4 linked regions of the Arabidopsis thaliana genome follow. The protein of the gene in region 4 interacts with the protein of the main gene of each other region in a pairwise test. Each region holds a gene or a part of one and is shown on either strand. Other genes may lie near its edges.

Evidence for each region.
Region 1: the proteins of AT3G54120 (region 4) and AT1G52220 interact in a two-hybrid assay, tested with the Arabidopsis thaliana proteins (one large-scale study listed by BioGRID).
Region 2: the proteins of AT3G54120 (region 4) and AT5G58750 interact in a two-hybrid assay, tested with the Arabidopsis thaliana proteins (one large-scale study listed by BioGRID).
Region 3: the proteins of AT3G54120 (region 4) and NodGS interact in a two-hybrid assay, tested with the Arabidopsis thaliana proteins (one large-scale study listed by BioGRID).

Annotation. Positions count from the first base shown.
Region 1 is NC_003070.9:19,452,669-19,456,633, forward strand, and holds AT1G52220 (CURVATURE THYLAKOID protein), read right to left. Parts: upstream 2,098-3,965; 5' UTR 1,938-2,097; coding exon 1,710-1,937; intron 1,606-1,709; coding exon 1,519-1,605; intron 1,427-1,518; coding exon 1,364-1,426; coding exon of another isoform or gene 1,310-1,363; exon of another isoform or gene 1,277-1,309; coding exon 1,239-1,276; intron 1,157-1,238; coding exon 1,102-1,156; 3' UTR 812-1,101; downstream 1-811. Other genes in the region: PSAH2 (photosystem I subunit H2), read left to right, coding at 2,234-2,364, 2,458-2,584, 2,661-2,840; ROPGEF11 (rop guanine nucleotide exchange factor-like protein), read right to left, coding at 3,098-3,487, 3,580-3,900. UniProt on the Arabidopsis thaliana protein: Determines thylakoid architecture by inducing membrane curvature.
Region 2 is NC_003076.8:23,726,363-23,730,790, reverse strand, and holds AT5G58750 (NAD(P)-binding Rossmann-fold superfamily protein), read right to left. Parts: upstream 2,204-4,428; 5' UTR 1,906-2,203; coding exon 745-1,905; 3' UTR 649-744; downstream 1-648. Other genes in the region: DDB2 (damaged DNA binding 2), read left to right, coding at 1-50; AT5G58740 (HSP20-like chaperones superfamily protein), read left to right, coding at 3,263-3,311, 3,413-3,561, 3,676-3,724, 4,029-4,171.
Region 3 is NC_003074.8:19,705,127-19,712,349, reverse strand, and holds NodGS (nodulin/glutamine synthase-like protein), read right to left. Parts: upstream 5,531-7,223; 5' UTR 5,283-5,530; coding exon 5,121-5,282; intron 4,917-5,120; coding exon 4,567-4,916; intron 4,479-4,566; coding exon 4,363-4,478; intron 4,286-4,362; coding exon 4,180-4,285; intron 4,038-4,179; coding exon 3,881-4,037; intron 3,809-3,880; coding exon 3,713-3,808; intron 3,647-3,712; coding exon 3,598-3,646; intron 3,469-3,597; coding exon 3,197-3,468; intron 3,082-3,196; coding exon 2,909-3,081; intron 2,824-2,908; coding exon 2,703-2,823; intron 2,620-2,702; coding exon 2,567-2,619; intron 2,475-2,566; coding exon 2,345-2,474; intron 2,268-2,344; coding exon 2,122-2,267; intron 2,052-2,121; coding exon 1,863-2,051; intron 1,787-1,862; coding exon 1,554-1,786; intron 1,471-1,553; coding exon 1,328-1,470; intron 1,225-1,327; coding exon 1,162-1,224; 3' UTR 890-1,161; downstream 1-889. Other genes in the region: AT3G53170 (LOW protein: PPR containing protein), read left to right, coding at 5,933-6,009, 6,119-6,428, 6,515-7,223.
Region 4 is NC_003074.8:20,040,301-20,044,507, forward strand, and holds AT3G54120 (Reticulon family protein), read right to left. Parts: upstream 2,041-4,207; 5' UTR 1,834-2,040; coding exon 1,764-1,833; intron 1,662-1,763; coding exon 1,481-1,661; intron 1,417-1,480; coding exon 1,205-1,416; intron 1,118-1,204; coding exon 969-1,117; 3' UTR 826-968; downstream 1-825. Other genes in the region: PUMP1 (plant uncoupling mitochondrial protein 1), read left to right, coding at 1-20, 112-216, 300-377, 461-547, 652-696; AT3G54130 (Josephin family protein), read right to left, coding at 2,595-3,182, 3,875-4,129.

The sequences.
Region 1 (3,965 bases), on a different chromosome or scaffold from region 4:
AATATTCAAAAGTTAAGATCAAAATCAGTTTAAACTTTAAAGACTACAAACTTTCAAGAGAGCCTTAAACTAAAAATGATGATGAAGACCCTTGAACCTGTGAATGCATGTTAAGCACATTCCGCCTGAAGACAAATACAACAGCCCTATAGCATATATCTATAGATCATCTTAAAAACATTACTTCTTCTTCTTCTTCTTCTTCTTCTTCTTCTTCTTCTTCTTCTTGATGAATGATTCCTCTCTTTTTAGGGTTATTATTTAAAGCCAAGGACTAATTGTGATTTGTGAATCCAAATGTTTAGTTCTGAAACCTCACCTAATGTCTCGAATTCAGAGTGCATATGATACTTATTGGTTTCAACTGTTTTCCCTATCCTCCATGTCTGTTTTAAATGTGGCCTTCTTAAATTGTAGGTGATGGAAAAGAATATTGAACCTATTAGTGAGAAGAAAGACATGCACACAGGAGATGTGGCTTCTCCAAGTCTGAAGGAAAATTCTTCGCAGCTTGAGAGTACCAGGGACCTAATTATGGTTGCCGCAAATACTAATTTATGGAGGGAGAGCTTGTTTGGTTCTGCTAAGGTGACACCTAGTTATTTCTTTTGGTTGGTGCTCTAATTATTCCCATCATCATGCAGAAGATTGAATAGTTTTATCAAGCTGTTACGTTCCAGTCCAGCAAGAACCATAGTTTATGCAAACAAGATTTATAAAAGAACCTTAATCATTGATTTTAGGGTTTATGTACCAGAAAACTGAAAACAAAACAAAAGCCAGAATCGTGAAATAGAAAAAGGGCTTTTGGATTTGAGAAATAACAAATTTGTTGAAGCTCTGAACTTGAAAAATTATGGCTTTTGATATGCGGAAACAATAAAATTGAAACCCTGATTTAAAACGTATAATCATAAAAGAGAATCTTTGAAATTAGAAAAGATTGATTTTGCTCACAACCAAAAACCAACAATAAAGTATTTACAGGTTTCAAATGCATGACATTATTGGACTAGAAACAACAACCACCCTGTCATGTAATTTTACAAACTTGCAAACAAATCATCTTCCAAAGATGAAGTATTATCACACACACAAGGTTCACTGGCCAAGTATATCCGCTACTGATTTCTTGACAATTTTCGAAAGCTCCTGTCTGAAAAAATAAACAAAGACTTAGGTTAAACAAAAACACCAGCATTCGATTTCATAACCGCATTTAAAGAAAAAAAAATTACCTGTCCGGTTTGAACAAGAGATATCGATATGTGAACCACTGCAGAAATGGAGATATCAAATGCTAGAAGAATCAAGGATCATAACATTTATACTTATTGAGATGATACCAAGCCTTATTACTTACCGTGGAGAACAAGATACCAACTAGTTCGAATCCGCTCGAGATAACGGGCAATTTGTCGATTGCCTAACGAAGAAAAAGAACAAGTCTTTGTCATCAAGTCTCACAAAATTAAGCACAACAAAAGATAAAAGTTTTGAGTCTTTTCATTACTATACCGTGATGAGATTCAATGATGCCCAAAGAGCTACAATACCAGCAAAACCCAAACCAATAAGACCTAACCTATCTTCAGACTTATCCCACTGCAATAATTTACAAATTTAAAAAATGTCCAAATCAAAACTAAGGCATATATGTAACTGAGAACAGAGTCTAATGTAGGGTTTATAGAGATTTAGGGACTCACAACATTCTGAATCGTACTAACAACGTCGAGATCAGTCGATGAATCTGAGCTTTCTCCACTAGCTTTCACCATCAGACTGATGCTGCTAGGGTTTCGAGTAAGAGATAATGGAGAAAGATCATTCGTACCTCGAGTTAGAGAAAATGGGAGTTTTTGAATCGATGTGAGATTGGATTTTCTCTGTGTGAGTAACAATGGCGAAGGCAAAGTTGCAGAAATTGAAGCCATTCTTTAAAAAAATAAAAAGAACAGAACAAAAAAATTGAAACTTTAGAGATTTTGATTCGATTTTGGAGACAGAGACGAAGAAATTTTTGGTTATGGATTAGAGATAGCCTTATCTTTTTATAATCCACGTGGCATTTCCTAAGTGGCATATCAAATCTCAAAGATGACAACCCAATTCGCCACGTGGCAGAACAAGATCTATCAAATGAGTGAAGAAGATTCTCCACTATACAAATTACATCAATCCACTCACTTACTTTGGCAACAAACAAACAACAACAAAGAGAGAAATTAACATGGCGTCTTTTGCAACCATCGCCGCCGTACAACCTTCTGCCGCCGTGAAAGGACTTGGAGGTAGCTCTCTTGCCGGAGCTAAGCTCTTCATCAAACCTTCTCGCCAAAGCTTCAAAACCAAATCCACCAGGTAAAGTTTAAAGCTTTGAAATTTGGAATCTTGGATTGACATTGATGAGGATTGGTATTAAAGAAAGGATGTTACTTTTGATTGTTTGTGTAGAGCTGGTGCTGTGGTGGCTAAGTATGGAGACAAAAGTGTATACTTTGATTTAGAAGATTTGGGTAACACAACAGGACAATGGGATGTGTATGGATCTGATGCTCCTTCTCCTTATAACCCACTTCAGGTTTTTGTACACTCTTAAATCTTTAGATCTATATGCTTCTTCAAATTCTAAGACTTTGTGATTATGTTGCTTGCAGAGCAAGTTCTTTGAGACATTTGCTGCTCCTTTCACAAAGAGAGGTTTGCTTCTCAAATTTTTGATTCTTGGAGGAGGCTCTTTGCTTACATATGTTAGTGCGAACTCTACCGGCGATGTTCTTCCGATTAAGAGAGGTCCTCAAGAGCCACCTAAGCTCGGTCCTCGCGGCAAGCTTTAAATTAGCTTTCTAAAATCTTTCAAAAAGTCAGAAACTTTCTCCCCAATTCTATGAACCCTATTTATGTATATTGTACTGTGTTGTGTTAATTGCTTTGTAAGCTAGTGATTCTGAAAATCAGTTATGATGAATCAATGAAATTGCATTTCAAGTCTGCTACAACACACAATGGTGCATTTTGTGGAATCTTTAAGCAGATTGAAAATGCAGTAAGAAGCCCTAATTTAACAAGAACGGAAAAAAGAAACCGGTTTCTCTCAGGAGTATCTTGCGGTTGGACTCCTCATAGCTCCAAGATTATCAAGATAAGAACTCTTCTTGTTGTTAGTCATTATACCTGTGACTTTCGACAACAACGGTTTCTCTCTATCTCCGAAAAAGCTTTCTTTCTTCATTTCATTGTTTTTGTTACCCCATTGCATAACATCAGAAAGTGTTCCTGAAGCCATATCCTCTGTGAAACTTAGTCTTTCCTCTCTTAGTTTCTCATTCTCCTTCAAGCTATATCTGTTCTTAGAAGGTGCATTATTTGTAGGTTCTTGAGTAAGCTGATCAGCGTAAAGCACGTCTTCTATTCTCGACATCACGGTGTGAGCTAAACTCTCAAGCACTCTTGAATAACTCTCCAATATCGCAAGTCCTACATCCTGCAACAACAATTATCCAATAATGAGATTTTCTCATGACCATAGAGAAAACACAATCAAAATGTATTTGGAAGTTAAGAGTTTTAAATTACTCTGTTGAATTGAATCTTGCTGATATCGAGCGAGGACTGTGAGATTCCGGGAAACCCTTGTTTTAATAGTAGCAAGATGGTTTCAGCTCTTTCTTCAAACTGTTCTCTTTTCTCAATACTCACTGTTGATCCCCAAGGAGACTTTGTGTCCTTCTGCACCATTTTCCTCTTCCATATCACAATCGATGCTTCGATTCTGTTCTTTAGATCAAGAATCTTGTGCTCAGATGATAAATCCATTTCAATTAGGAATTGATCTGCATCAAACATCTCTACTGTTATCATTCTGTATATCACATCTCCCAAGCTAGCTCTCCCATTCTGTTCTCAACAACACACGAAAACATCGATAAGGACTAGATCAATAACAGATTCTTGATGAATGT
Region 2 (4,428 bases), on a different chromosome or scaffold from region 4:
TAAAAGTCAATAAGTATCAAGCAAAAACAACCAAGAAGACAAAAACTTAATATGAGTGAAGAAGGTCGTTATGTATAACTAACTTACTCTGTTTTTGTAGGTTTTCTTGTACAGAGTCTGTTTTAGTAGCATCCCCTGTTTTGCCTTTGGCGGCAATTTTGCTTCTTTTTTCTTTTGGGGGCGCATGATCGGCTTTTGTATGGCATTTTCTTGAAATCCTTTTTGGTGATTCTTAAGTATGAATTGTAGTAAGTATGTGGAATGGATCAATCTTGAATCTTCTCTTCAGTTTTTACTCTCCCCTGTTTTCTCTTACTTGTTGGAATGATTCTTGATCTCGCTGAGTGAAGAGTGGAGACATGGGATGAAATGTCTTTACTCTTACGTCATCTTGACAGCCAAAACTCATCTGTACTACGTATGCAATAACATCGATAAACAAACTGAGTCCAGCTAATCATCTTGTTGTTGTCTCAAGTATGGTCTGCCACTACTTCATCTTATTATATGTCACAATACATTCACATTTGTTCGGACGCGTTTACGAAACCTGACTGGAATTTTGGTTATCCACTGCTTGGAATCTAACTTAGCTATTGCATTTCACTGCAAAGGATTTATGTTTAATGATTTAGCTTAAAAGGATTTGTGGAAAGCTCATTATTCAAACAAACAAAACTTACATGAGGATTATTGATCAAGTACATATATACCGTGATCTACATTGCTAATGTACAACATGTGTTACAAAGGAATGAGTTTTTCATCTCTCATCACATCAATCCAATACAAAACCGAATCTAGGGTTCTATATTTCCTCTTAAACCCAAACCTATCTACTTTTTCTCTTTTCCCAAGAAGCTTAAACGGACATCTAAACAGAGCATCCAAGAAATACCAATTCGCCAAATCCTCAATCTCTGTCCTAACAAGCTTCTCCTTCACAACAATCTCATCCCACACATGTTTTCTCTCAACCATCTCTCTCCCAAACCAGAAACCTTCATCAAACATGGTTGTTTCGTTAACTTGTACACCAAGTTTCTTCCCTATTTCCGGCCAAATCTCCTTCCAAGTAAACCCTACTCCATTAATGGCGTTAAAAGCTTCCCCTTTCTCGCGTACTTTCCCACTTGTTGCAGCGAATATATGCTGCTCCGCGACTAAATTCGAATCAGAGCCATCTATGTAACTCTCTTCCCAACATTCTCTTGTTCCTCCAAACACAAAAGGAAGATTCAAATACTTACACATCGCTCCATAAACACAAAGACTTCCCATGAAGTTGTACAGAGTTCTTGAAGAGCTTCCCATTAGCAAACCAGGTCTTTGAACCGACCAAACAACGGAACTACGAGTGATCTTCTCCTTCAGCAAGTCCTCCAAAACATAGTAGAAATTCTTCCCAGAGCTCTTTCTTGGACACTCCTCGCTGTAATAATACAAACTCGAACCTTCTCCACGAGCCATTGTCTCTTCCACCAAAGACACATAATGCTTCATCCCCGTTTGAAGCGAGAAATGCTTTAACCTCTTAGCGTTTGGGAGAATCGCGTCCAAAGCGTTCATCAGCATCGTCTTGTTCTGTACGCAACATTCGTCGGTATCCAATGGAAACTCACCAGACCACGTGACCCAAAACACGTGACTCACGATGTCTTGTAATGGAGACAACCTCTGTTTAGTCTCAGATGCGTTAAGCAGATCGCAGGAGATGAAGTTGTACATCTTCGTCATGGAATTGATCTCCGGGTTACGCGCTACGCCGTAGATTCTCCATCCTGGTTTAGACATTAATAGCGTCTTAACAATCTCTCGACCCACAAGCCCGGTGACGCCAAAGATTAACGCTACATTCTCGTCTACTTCGTTTCTTCTCATCAAGCTGCCATTTTCAGACCCCATTGTGATTATTAGTGAGTTATGGACTTTGATCAAAGCTTCATATAAACGCTTAGAGTAAAGACAAAAAAAGTTTGTGGGACTGATTCAACGTGTTTTAGGATAGTTTCAAGACTCGATGCTTACCTGTTTTAAAGGCTATGATAAATTATCCAAAGCAAGTTGCTTTGAACACAGCTACGATGTAGCATAACGAAGCAACATTTGTTTAAGATAAAATAGACTAAAGTCAAACAGTGTTTTGGGTTTCATGTTAACGTGTTTATCAATTTAATTTGTGGTTCTGGAATGTGTTACGAAAGCAACAGTTGTTACAATAGTTTTTTAAGGAACCGTCGTGTACAGCATTTTGTCCGGTTCTCAATCGGACGGTCAAGATTTTGCGAGAGGCAGAGTCTGGCCCGTGGTTGCTGGCCGGCTTTTAAAATTATAGTACACTTCAAGTGGGTCTCTACTCTAATAGTATTCATTTTAGTTAACAGTCTCACCGGTCAAAACCGAATATTAGCCGACAACTTATTCAATGAACTAGTTATATATACACTCGTGAGTCGTGATGATTGTTTTTTCATAACTAGAACTCATGTACCCGAAACCAAACCGATTTGAGATCTAACTGTCGTTCGATTCATGCAGTGGCCAAACATGTATCATATCGAATTTCATCAAATGAAACAAGTTGACCAATGGAATTGAGAAAGTAAGTTTTTGGATTAGCGAAATGGAAGACCATAATTTACATTATCAAACAACTTTTTGATTGATCAAAATTATTCTTCTGTTATAAGTCAAAGTCTTTGATCACGTATAACGTTTTAATATGAGAAAATTGAATAACTACCCTGTCTACGTTGAAGAAACTGAAAGGGGGAAATGGGTACAGTGTATCTCTTGTCCCAAAGGACATTGAAAAGCTAAAAAACTAACACACTTGGCTACGTTTAAGGCTTTAAAATGGACCATGTTTTGTGGTAGACCTACACATTACTCTTCTTTCAATTTTGTTTTCCTCCGTATTCTATGCATTGAATAGACCCACTTCTCATCTTTAAATTTTCTGTGGAATTGTGAAAGAGTGTTCTACTTTGGCGACAACAAAAAAATGTTTCTTGGAACTTGGAAGAACTTCAATAAAACGGCATGGAGTTTTGACTTCCAAGTTAGAAACGGAGTGTACCTCAAGAAAAGGGATCTAAGCGTAAATAACTAAAACTAAGAACCCTAAAAGAAAATACATGATTATGAAAGGACTGAATCATAAATGCCTGTCCTCCAATGTTGAGACGAATTGAAAAGGAACCAGAACAACTACTATCAACGGTGATCGATTTCGCCGGGAACGGAGAAGAAAACCCTAGATATGGCGGAGAAGCTTGCGCCAGAGAAGAGACACGATTTCATTCACAATGGTTTCTCGCTTTCTCTATCCCCTCGCTCTATTTCTCTAATTTCAGCTGATTCCATTTCACGAGATTTGGTTTGAATGTTCTTCGATTTCCGATGGTTATAGGTCAAAAGGTATTTGAGTGGGATCAAACCCTGGAAGAAGTGAACATGTACATAACTTTGCCGCCAAATGTTCATCCAAAGTCATTCCACTGCAAAATCCAGTCGAAACATATCGAAGTTGGCATCAAAGGCAACCCTCCCTATCTCAATGTCAGTTTCTTTCGCTATCTTTCAATGTTTTTGATCCGTTTGTCTCATAAATCTGAGTTATTCGATGTGGTATATATAACTCGATTCAATTGTCTAAATTTTGTCAATTTTCAGCACGATCTTAGTGCTCCTGTGAAGACTGATTGCTCGTTCTGGACTCTAGGTACTCCATTTTTTGTTTTTGTGTCTGTATTGGGTGCTTGTTTTTGATGGTTAGGTTTCTGTTTTTAGACCCGTTCACTATTGCTAGAGAGGATAAACTGAACCTGGAAATGTGATCTGAGTTTGGTATAAATAGTGGGACATATAGTTTGGAATGTGGAAAATTTGAGACTAATGGAGGGATGATGGAATGTACAGTATATTTTGGGTTATATTATCAGCGTATGTAAGTTACTGGCATAGTTTTTTTAGGTTCATAGTCTGGCACTGATTGCTAATCTGGATTGTTATGTTTGATTTGGCAGAGGATGATATAATGCACATTACCCTGCAGAAGAGGGAGAAAGGGCAAACATGGGCATCACCGATTCTGGGACAGGGTCAGTTAGATCCTTACGCCACTGATCTTGAGCAGAAGCGGCTCATGCTCCAGAGGTTTCAAGAAGAGGTTAGCTACCTGTAAAAGTCCTCTTGGTTTCATATGGTTTCTGCTTTTGAAAAAATAAATGTTGTTTTCTAGGTCTTCTAATTGATCTCCAAAGCAAATCTTAGGCACCACTACTGAGTAGAATGAATCTATGTCAAAGTATGATTACTTTGCCATAAATGATCGTTTTGGATGAGTCATGTCCCATGATTGTTTTCTTTGTTCAAGCTCTCTTATTTTGTTTCTTATGTCTCTCTCAAGTAGTGAATCTTTTGTGT
Region 3 (7,223 bases), 340 kb from region 4:
AATTCGATTCTACAATCCAAAATTAACAGCAAAGTCAATTGAATGTTAACAACAAAATTGATAACGTTGGTTTGGAAGATTTAGAGTAAATCTCTGTCTTTCTTAGGCTGGATTTTAACGTTTTGACCCCATATATCTATCATTCGTACATTTGACTACAAAATTACGTACATGCATGCGACAACAAGATTCTTTTCAAAGGACCTTGCATTGACTTTTATTGTTGTAGTAGAAAGGTTAGATTTTTCCTTCAAATCTTAGTTATAGTTTCCCTTGAACATATAAATCTGTAAAGTTTTAGCTGATTCGTTTGCAAAGGGAAGCAGTAAAAGCTCATTATGTTGTACGTATACCTTCTTACGAACAATTAATTTGTCTAGTGTGAATGAAATCATAAAGTTTGCAAGAAAAAAATTTGGACTTATTAATAAGTTCTCTTCCATAGTCACATGGAGATGGATTTTGTTCGTCCACTTGTTTGAGCATAATAAGCGTACCGTATAAACCTAATCTTTACTTTAATTTCTATACTTATCGTTCATATTTTAAGGAAATTAGCTAGGTAGCATAACTTAATTACACTTTAAACTCCAATTTCTTAAAATTAAATAAATAATATGATGAGATTTACCAAAAGAATGTCATACTAACCTTTTCTTTCATAAAAAAAAACATGTGCTTTAGTTTGCAGATTAAAGGGAGATTAAATATGATTAAATAGGTTAATTAGTCAAAGTAATGAATAAGAAAGATTTGAAAAAAAGGGATCAGGCACCTACCTAGATAACAATAGCCGGACTAAGAACATGGAAAGAACAATGGTTAAAGGGTATTTGCGCTCCTAATACTACAATCATTTTTTTGTTTCCGAGTATTAGTAGTCAAATTCAATTCATAGACAAATGTAAATGATTAAGAACTACTCCGTATTATTGAAAATACTCTGTATATTCTTGAGGCTTTTGAAAGCATGGGACGAAAAAGTAAGAAATACAAATAGTACTCCAGCATGAGCATGCGTCTCGAAATATGAAATTTAGTTTATTAATTTTCTGAACCACATCTTTATGTCAAGTATTTTGCAAATACGACCCTTCATGTGACACAAAGTCCACAATAAAACCAAATGATCCAACAATCATCATAGAGATGCTCAAAGGATTAGTATCGGTGAATGAGTTGCTTATATGCATCCGGATTCTTCGAATAATACTCGACCTCAGCCTGTTACACAAAAAAATTTAAAAAGACAAAAACAATAGATTAGTGCTAATGTACTTTGTTACCACTGAGAATCTAATGGGAAACTAAAAGACTATAGTGTTACCTTACGGACTCCTTTTATGGCAACTAAAAGCTTTTGTCCGAGCAAATCGTGGAGAACTTTGTCTTTGTCCAGAGCTTCAACAGCTTCTGAGAGCGTTTCCGGAAGTCTGTTCAATGTAGCAGCCACATCCGCCGGATTTATATCTGTTCCATCCGAACAACTCAAGATCAAGCTTCATATTAACACTACATATACATGAGAATGAATAACATAAGTTTTTAGTTACCTATTGGAGTAGGAAGTTGAAGATGTCGCCGGAGACCATCAATACCAGCAGCCATTATAACAGCCAAACCAAGGTGAGGATTTGCAGAGCCATCAAAAGACTTTATCTCAAAGTTAGTAACTAAACCATCAGGAGTTCCTGGTGGAGAAGCTGCTCTTAACGCTGCTTCGCGGTTTTCTTTGCCCCAACATTGGAATGCTCCACTCCATGTATTAGGTTGGATTCGGTCGTAGCTGGAAATTTAAGTGACACACACAACTTTTAATAACAATTGAGGAAATTACTCGAAAAGTACGGTTTTCGAGTTACCTGTTTGGGAGTGGAGCTATAATAGCTAAGATTGATGGAAGATGAAATAGAACTCCGGCCATGAACTCTTCTCCAACGGAAGAGATTCCATGAGAAGATGAGTTATTAGATGCCGGGAAGACATTTTCGCCGTTTTTCCAAAGACTTAGATGCACATGTGATCCAGAACCAATGTCACAATAATCATACCTGAAGAAAAAACACATATGTTAAAAATTTGCAGTTACAACGAATAATTTGGTGGGAGAGACTGACATACTTTGGAACAAAGGTTGCGAGCAATCCCTGTTTCCTTGCAACCGATCTTATAACTTCACGTGTGTAGACCAAGTTGTCGGCAGCATGGGATGCAATGGTGTGACCGAGAGATACTTCAAACTGACCTTTCCCGGATTCAGCATGAAACTATGAAAAAATTTCATACATGTCAAGAAGCATGTTGCAGACTGATCATTATGAGGGATTTTTGAATTATTTGTAACCTGTTCAACTTCGATGTTCAAGGACTCGAGTGCGGGTACAATATCATGGAAGATCGGAGATGCAGCATCGAATGAGGATGTGGCACAGTAAGGACCAAAGTCAAAAGGCATATACTCTTCTTTCCCTTCCCTTTTAAAAAATGGACAGAACAAGTGTTAAGATTGTGAAAATGATTGGATTGAACAAAGAAACCGGTATTCAAGAAATATATAGTCGCATACCGCACAACGTTCTTGAGGAGATAAAACTCATTCTCAAAACCAGCGTTCATTACCTAAAAGCCAAGGAAGATTTGAGCTTAAGCAACCAAAAAGCAAATAAAAGTTTTCGTAGAATGGCTATATGGAGATTTCTTACCAAGTCAAATTCATCTTTGAGAACTTTTGCGACCCTTCTTAAGGTCTCTCGTGGACAGTACCCCCATGCTTCACCAGGCTTCAATTGCATATCAGCTAAAACCATGCTCTCTTGCTTCGTCCTAATGATAAAATATGATACGGAAACAATTAAGAAAGAAACATCTGTAAAATTAACTCCAAAGAGAATGAACACGAGTAAAGTACCAAGGTATTGTCTGCTTGGTTGATAGATCTGGAACAAGTCTAATCTCACCCACACCTGTCAATTTAGACTCTTCTGCTGGTCCATCAGTAAATGAAGTCATCCCCATTGATGCAAAGGTCAGACCAACGCCGTTCTTCTTCACACTTCTGTTAAAACGCTGCGCTTGAACAGCCTGAAACAATACAATAAACAGAATTCTAGTTAAGTTTTTGTGCTTCTAAGGAAAAATCGTTGAGGTGGGAAACAGAGGTTTTTTCTTTAGAAGAAACCAAAAAAAAAAAACTCACACGGCATCTTTGTTGTCCAGATGTATCAACCCAAATAATGCGTACAAAAGAACTACTATCTTCTTGAACATCAGGCTCCTTTATCTTCAATTTGGGAGATATTATATTTTGTGGACTAGAAGAATCTGTGTCTATATTAAGCTTATAAAATCCAATAGAATTTCGTGAGAATATGTCTTTAGCTGCATCAATAGCTTCCATGAGTGAGAGATCACCACTGGCACAAGCATCACTCAGAACTAAGAAGATAACCTCACGTGCTTTCTTTGCACCTGCAAAAAACAGCGAGCTATGTTCAAGACTGAAGCAAGACGATTTCAAGTGCCAAAGCTTAGAAACAGGATTGGAACATATATAAGTATGTTACAAACTATAGAAAAGAGGTAGAAACTTGAGCTAACCTAAATAGTAGGTCTCAGGAGATGCATACCCATCAGTGCTGAACATAACCTGCAATAATATCTTATGGTTACTCATGAACAATAACAAAGATAATGCAAGTAAAATAAATTTTACCTTCTTTATTGATGCTAAGTCAAGGAGCTCTTTAACTGAAGAAACCATACCATGGACACTAAGCTTTGGAACCGCCAAGCCGAAATCAAGGTAAACCTTAAGGAACAAGAAAATAAGTTAATGACTAGGCATGATTTTACAGATAATTGAAATGGGATGACGAAAAACCTGAGGATAAACTGAAGACAGAAAGGATGCTTCCTTTGAGAATGGATAAGCTGCATGAAGAAGAACTATACGACACTTTCCAAATCTTTTGTCTTCAAGAAGGGTTCTAAGGTGAAGAGGATTCGACAACCTCAAATCCAAATCCTTGTCACCAAAACTGGCTCAAACAACAAAAGAAAAGGAGAATTTTCATTACTACAAACCTCTGAGCATGAGTTTCTGTTTCTGTGTAAGGTTTGTTTGATAAAAAGATCAGACTTTACTAACATCAATCATATAGTTGATCAAATCTTGCATACCCGGTGTGAATCTGCAAGGGCAAGTCGCGACGCACAGCGACCTCCAAACTAATGGTAAGGATGTAGTCAATCAAGCCCTTGTTTCCTATGCGGACAGGCTTTCCAGCTGCAGCAATATTAGATTTTAAGGTGATCAGACAACAACTATGTTACTTCTTGATAGACCAAGCACAACCATCTTACCTCGCAAGACTTCAACAAGGCCATTCTCAGCAACTTCTTTACTCACATAAGTATCAATATCCAAACCGCTACGATATGCAGCAATAGTTTTCAAAGCAACAATCTCTGGAACAAGCGTGACCGAAGTAGTCAAGGTTAACCAATACTAGTGAGTATAGTCACAATCATTAAGCGTGTATTAAAAAAGCAAAGATAAAAGGATATGAATTTAATCTTTCAACAAAGGTTTTGGTGAAAGAATCTAAATCCCAAACAGGCGGTTCAGTACTCTCAGAACCATAGAAATAACCACCAGGACACTCCTCTTCGAGGATTTGCTCGGCAAGAGTTTCGATACGCAACACTCTACCAACGAATGGAACAAAGTTTCTATGCCATTCAATATCATGTTTCTTGTCTAGCTTTAATCCATCATCAATGAGGAGAGCAGAGATTCGAGCTTCTTTAAAACACTTGGAAGTAAAAGAATCCAAACCCGAGGTTTTACGATGTTCCTCAACCGCTTCTAAAGATACTTCAGTGCCATAAAGTTGAGCAATCTCCCTCAAGTTCCTCTGTTTCATTCATACAACCAAAAACATTCATACCAACTTCACGAGATTCCTAAACAAGTCAACATCTTTTGAGTAACACTCGAAACTTTAGTTAACTAATACTTTTGAGACTAATTAGGAAACTTTAAGCTAACGTTTTCATTAATTAGAATCTGATTCAAACGAAAACTAACTAGAGCAAAAACACTTGGTATCGTCGTGTACCTTGAAGGAGAGAGAATGAGGAGCGAAGGTTAAAGCGTCGCCGGCAGCCTCGGAGAAAGTTCCGATGAACGGAAAAGATGAGTCAAGAGAGACAATGTTGTGTGCGTGAGCATCAACGAGCTCTATCTTCTCTATTGCTTCCTTTAACTCACTAAACTCCATCTCCGTCTCTCTCTGTCTAAAGTCAACAGTTCGATGTTCTTGATTCGTGTTAATCTTCTTACAATCTTCACAGTTTATTACAGGAACGGTTTTAAAGCATAAGTGAAGAAGATCCAATCAAATCGTTGACTTTTCCTTGTCTGATTTGGTCGGTGGCCGATGTCTCTGACCTTTAAACTTCACGACGGCGTTTAGAGGAGAGTGATGAGCACGTGTCCACGTGAAATACATTAGCCTCCACGTGTCCTAACTAGTGTGGATAACTTTCAACTGTGTTCTTGGTTTTTCATTTTCCAAATTCCGGTTCCTTGCCAAGGACAATCTCGTTTTAACAAATTCGAATTCAAAATTAAATTGGAAAAAGCTCCATTTGGTTCTTCCTTCATCAATCCAATCCTTTAAACCGGACAAGAAAAAACTGATTAATGCTAAATTTTTAATTTTGTAAATCCAAATTAAACCGGCATCCAAATCAAAACTAAAACCATTTCATTATATTTTACAAACCGAAGAGAAGCTACACCAAACCGGAGAAGAAGAAAAAAACGAAGGAAAAACAACGGTATCGTCGTCGTCTTCTAGCTCTGCTTTCTACCCAGAAAATTTGCAGTTTCTTTTTCTCCACCTTATCTTTCTACCATTTTTCTTCGATGGCATTGATACAAAATCCTGTTCAAGGAACTACTTCCGCGTACGCCAATGAGATCGCACAACTTGGTTTTTCTCGGTAACATTCTCATATTTCATACAATCATACTGTTTTGAATTTTACGTTTCTTTAATTCTTCAGTTGTGTTTATATTAAATCTATCTTTCTCTGTTTCTCATTCTTGCAGAAGCGTGGTTCAGCAACATATATCTTCCCCTGTTTATTTTCGGTGTATACCAACTATTTCAATAACGCCCACAATGTGTTCGACAAAGGTCCCCAACGAACGTACAGAGAAAATGAATTCTGGTTTGATCTCAACAAGACACCAAGTAGATCCTAAGAAAGAATTGTCTCGGATTCTGAGAACAGATGCTGCTGTGAAGGGCATTGAGAGGAAAGCCAATTCCGAAAAGTACTTAACTTTATGGCCAAAAGCTGTTCTAGAAGCTCTTGACGAAGCTATCAAAGAGAATCGATGGCAGTCTGCTCTCAAGGTACAGCTCTTTAATCCTTCTTCATTCTTACAGATACTTGGACATAGATTCGATAGAATTCACTTTCCTGTTTCTCTACTTTATAGATTTTCAATCTTCTTAGGAAGCAGCATTGGTATGAACCAAGATGCAAAACTTATACAAAGCTGTTTAAAGTGCTTGGGAATTGTAAACAGCCTGATCAAGCCAGCTTGCTTTTCGAAGTTATGTTATCTGAAGGATTGAAACCAACCATTGATGTGTATACCTCTCTTATCTCTGTTTATGGCAAAAGCGAGCTTCTAGACAAGGCGTTTTCTACACTTGAGTATATGAAATCTGTTAGTGACTGCAAGCCAGATGTGTTCACCTTTACTGTTCTCATCAGTTGTTGCTGCAAACTGGGTCGGTTTGATCTGGTTAAAAGTATCGTTCTTGAGATGTCGTATCTTGGAGTTGGATGCAGCACGGTTACTTACAATACTATTATTGATGGGTATGGAAAGGCTGGAATGTTTGAGGAAATGGAAAGTGTTCTGGCTGATATGATCGAGGACGGAGATTCTCTTCCGGATGTTTGTACGCTTAACTCGATCATTGGGTCATATGGAAATGGTCGCAACATGAGGAAGATGGAGAGCTGGTATAGTCGGTTCCAGCTGATGGGGGTGCAACCGGATATCACTACATTTAACATACTGATCCTGTCATTTGGAAAAGCTGGTATGTATAAGAAGATGTGCTCTGTTATGGATTTTATGGAGAAAAGGTTCTTCTCCCTGACGACTGTCACTTACAATATAGTGATTGAGACGT
Region 4 (4,207 bases):
GTTACGATCAAGTGAAAGAGGTATGAAACTAATATGTTCTCTGTCTCTCTTTCTAAATAAGAGATCCTGATATTTGAAGCAACCAACATTCCTTTTTTTTTTTGTGTTCAGACGATCTTGAAGATTCCGGGTTTCACTGACAACGTTGTCACACATATTCTATCTGGACTGGGAGCAGGATTCTTTGCTGTCTGCATCGGCTCTCCTGTCGACGTGGTAAAGTATTTACTCATGACATTGAACCTTGAGTTTATTCACCACGTTTCCTGATTGTCTACTTAAATCTTGTTGTGTGGCAGGTTAAGTCAAGAATGATGGGAGATTCTGGTGCTTACAAGGGCACCATTGACTGCTTCGTCAAAACTCTGAAGAGCGACGTAAGCAACTCTGCTTCTGATACCTCCATTGTTCTAGATATAACCCAGAAAATGTTACAAACTCTTTACGGTTTCCTCTACAGGGTCCTATGGCATTTTACAAGGGTTTCATCCCCAACTTTGGACGCCTTGGCTCATGGAACGTAATCATGTTTTTGACCCTCGAACAGGTAACAACTGATAGAATTTTTATTTTATCGCAATCGCATTCGAATCGGTCACGCAAAGTCTTCTTTCTCATTTTCTAATCCGGGTTCTTAATACTCTAATCCAGGCAAAGAAGTATGTCCGGGAACTCGATGCGTCCAAAAGAAACTGAGACACATAGTTTTAAGCAGAGGGAATAAGAGCAACATTGTTTTCTTCTTCATTTTCGGTGATTGAGAGAGGCCAGAACTTGGTCGAATATTGTTTTCGGAATAGAGATTCAGTTTTCGAGTAAAACTGTGAAATAAAATTTCTGTGGATTGCTCATATATTGGCTGTACCATCCAACATTTATCAAAAATCATACATTTTTCTCCTTTCTTTCCACAAAACCGAGAAAAATCAGAAAAAGAAACTCCTGAAGAAGAAAGAGGTGACAGCATCTCAGCTCAGTTTCTTATTTTCCGGATTAGCCCATATCTCGAGTCTAAGGTAAAGCTCTCTAGTTTTGTTGCAGATAAACTCAATAGAGCCAACAATGTAATCCTCATATCTCTCATAGAAAGCTGGAACCGTCATAACCACCAAAACGCCTGCCAAATTAACCAAGAACAACCACAAAATGAATATCCAGCTCAAAAGCATTCCAAGTCTATAGGAGTTTTAGAATATCTACTTACTGGTGTGGCAAAGTGTCTGAAAATCCATGAGACTTCCGATCAATGAGAGAAGAAACAGTGACACTGCTACTTTGGTATACAACTCTGAGTCTCTTGCCATTGCAATGTCATGCGAAACTTGGAGTAGCTTGTTCACATGAATACGTAACCATATCGAAGCTTCTTCCGCCATCGCTTCACTTATTTGAAACTCCGGTAACGGCGGTGATGGCCTGAAGAGCCAAGAAATTGAATCAGAAATGAAGTAATATTAGTTACAAGTGAATATTAATATACCTGTTGAGAATGGAAGCAGATTTGGACCAGAGGAAGAGAATAGAGAGCAAGAGAAGAAGAACACTTGAAATAAGAGTAAAGATAGTGTAAGCAAATGCCTCAAACACCATCCATGAAGCTATTGTCACTGTAACTATACCAACACTCACATTCTTCTTCCTCCACAGCATCACATCTGCAACTGCAGATTCATTTCATAACAAGAAAAAAAAAAGGCTATAGAGGTGAGAGATCACCTAGCTTTTATAAGTTTTGGATTTGGTAAAGAAATGTATTCACTAACCAATGCCTCCTCCCAGAATCTCATGTATTGTCCTGTCTCTGTTGAACAACTTGTCCGAAGAAGAACTCATTTGAGAAGAAAGATCAGAGCAAACTTGGATTCAGATTTCCTCAGATGATCAGATCCCAAAAGTAACCCAGATATGTATATCTTTCTCTGAATGTCAGAAACAGATCATTATGTGAAAGGAAATCCTAAAGGCTCGAATCGAAGGAACCTGATGTATCACAAAGAAAGTAAAAATAAAAAGTGAAGAAGAGACTAAAGTTGGGTCATCACCATCATCATCAAAGCCATCAACTTTGAATATACAAATAATTAATTAATAATTCAAAGGCTATGCTCTGTTTAGGGAAAAAGAAGGTGTTTGTTGTCCTCTCGATGTTTTTATTTCCAGCCTAAAAGTGTTATCCTTCTTGTTTTTTTCAAACTGTAAAAGTTCGCCAGATTGTACTTAGAGATGAATCAAATTTTACACCATCCTTTTATATTTTCCATAGAACACATTTAAATTGGTCATTCATCTACTTTTAGTCAACTGAAGTAATTTATGTACCCTTTTCAGATGTAGTTTCCTATGAATTCGAAAAGGTCGAATCTTTATCCTCAATTTAAGATTGTCAGAAGAATTTAATATGGTAAAAAAATCAAACAAAAACAATTCCACAAACCATTTATTATCCTCTGTTTTCTATCTTTCGATGTAAGCTTTTTTCTTTCTCTGTTCTGTATGTAAAATTGTTGATAACTCTTGATAACAAACCAAAACAAAGAAACAAAAGTGAATATCCCACCACCTCCATCAATAACACTTGTTCTCTATTTTCTCTGCTACTTTTGTTTCTCAGTTTCCTTTTCAGAAGTGCCCACAGCTCCGAGATTGGCCTCAGCAGCAGAAGCATCAAGCAAACTTGCTGCAATTGCTGCCTTCAAGTCATCATCTTCCATCTCTGAAAAAGCCTGCACTTCCTCACGTGACAATGCCTGATTCCGTCTTTGTTGATTAACATTGTCATTACTTCTCTTGTTTCTGGCAGAAGAACCTGAGCTCGTGTTCTTTCTTATTCTCTCTGCGTCTTCAGGAGAAAGCCACTGCCCGAAACTATTGGAAGCTTCAGAAGAAGACGACATGGGACATTCCTGAGGGAAGTTTCCTTTCACTATGAAGATACTCCATCCTGCGCCTTTGAGAGAGTCTAAGAACGCAGAAAGGTAGAACTTCGATAAATGTTGCGGGGCAGCAAGGAGACTATCAAAGTTATACCATTCGCCATTCACTTTCCTTATACAAAACCAATGGTCATGCAAGTGGCAGATAAAGGCGCTTTCAAGCTCAGGGTCTATCTGCGCAGGCTCTGCATCTGGACAATTGAGTGGAATTACTTGTAGATCCCACACTTCCAAAGCTTTTTGCAAGACCTGTCAATCAAACAGAAGCATTCTCAGTTAAACGAATAAGCAAAGACTAGATCAACTTTGCAAGATTAAAATGCTACACCAATCGCATAAACCCTCTGTTTGCAGTGTTTTATCCGCATCCAACTTCAACGTAATCCGTTAAAATAGCTTTAATTTTAGATATCTAAAAATGTGATGTAAAACACCATACTATACCCTTGAATCTCAATACATAAATCTTGCAATCAAACCTGACTTTTGTAGCAACCTAATCAAATATCAAGTTATCAACCAACTCGGTTTAAAGCTATCCAAGAAACAAAAGATGATAATTGAATATACAGAACCTCACTAATAACTAACATATCCAAAACAATTGAGTCCCAAGATAAAAAAAATCATCTCAAGTTCCTCCATTTATCAGCATAGCAATGTTCGCACAATGAAACTAGCCTTCAACAAATGAGTTTTAACCCAAAGTAAAGATCGCAAATTCACACCATTACTGATCTCAATTCTTCTTGAATCTATCTAAAAACGAATCCAACCATTCAAAAGTTTATCACTTCAGCATAAACACAGCAATCAAAAGCACCATAAAATCGAAACCCTAATTTTGCCTAAACTTCCAACAACACAATAACAAAAAGGCTTTACAATATATAAATGTTGAATGCAACTCAAGATTTATCAATTTCATCGCGAATTCGTACCTGGATACTAAAATCGCCGCCGAGGGAAACATTGTGCGACTCTTCAGCTAAGAAATCGCCGGGAGCAAAACCTCCAACGGCAGCACCTTCAAGCATAACCTGACGCTCCTTCCCGTCTAGATCGGCGGCGACGGCAGCCAAATCGAATTCAGAGAAGAAAGGCCCTTGCAACACCGTGTTGACGCAGTGTACGGCGCACAGATTTGACTCTTGAACCTCGTGATACAACATTCCTCCGTTGCTTGTTCGTTCCATCGCCGATTAAGATTTGAATATCAAAATTCACTGATTTTGCGATGAATATATTATTATTGCTCCGATGCAAAAGTCTCA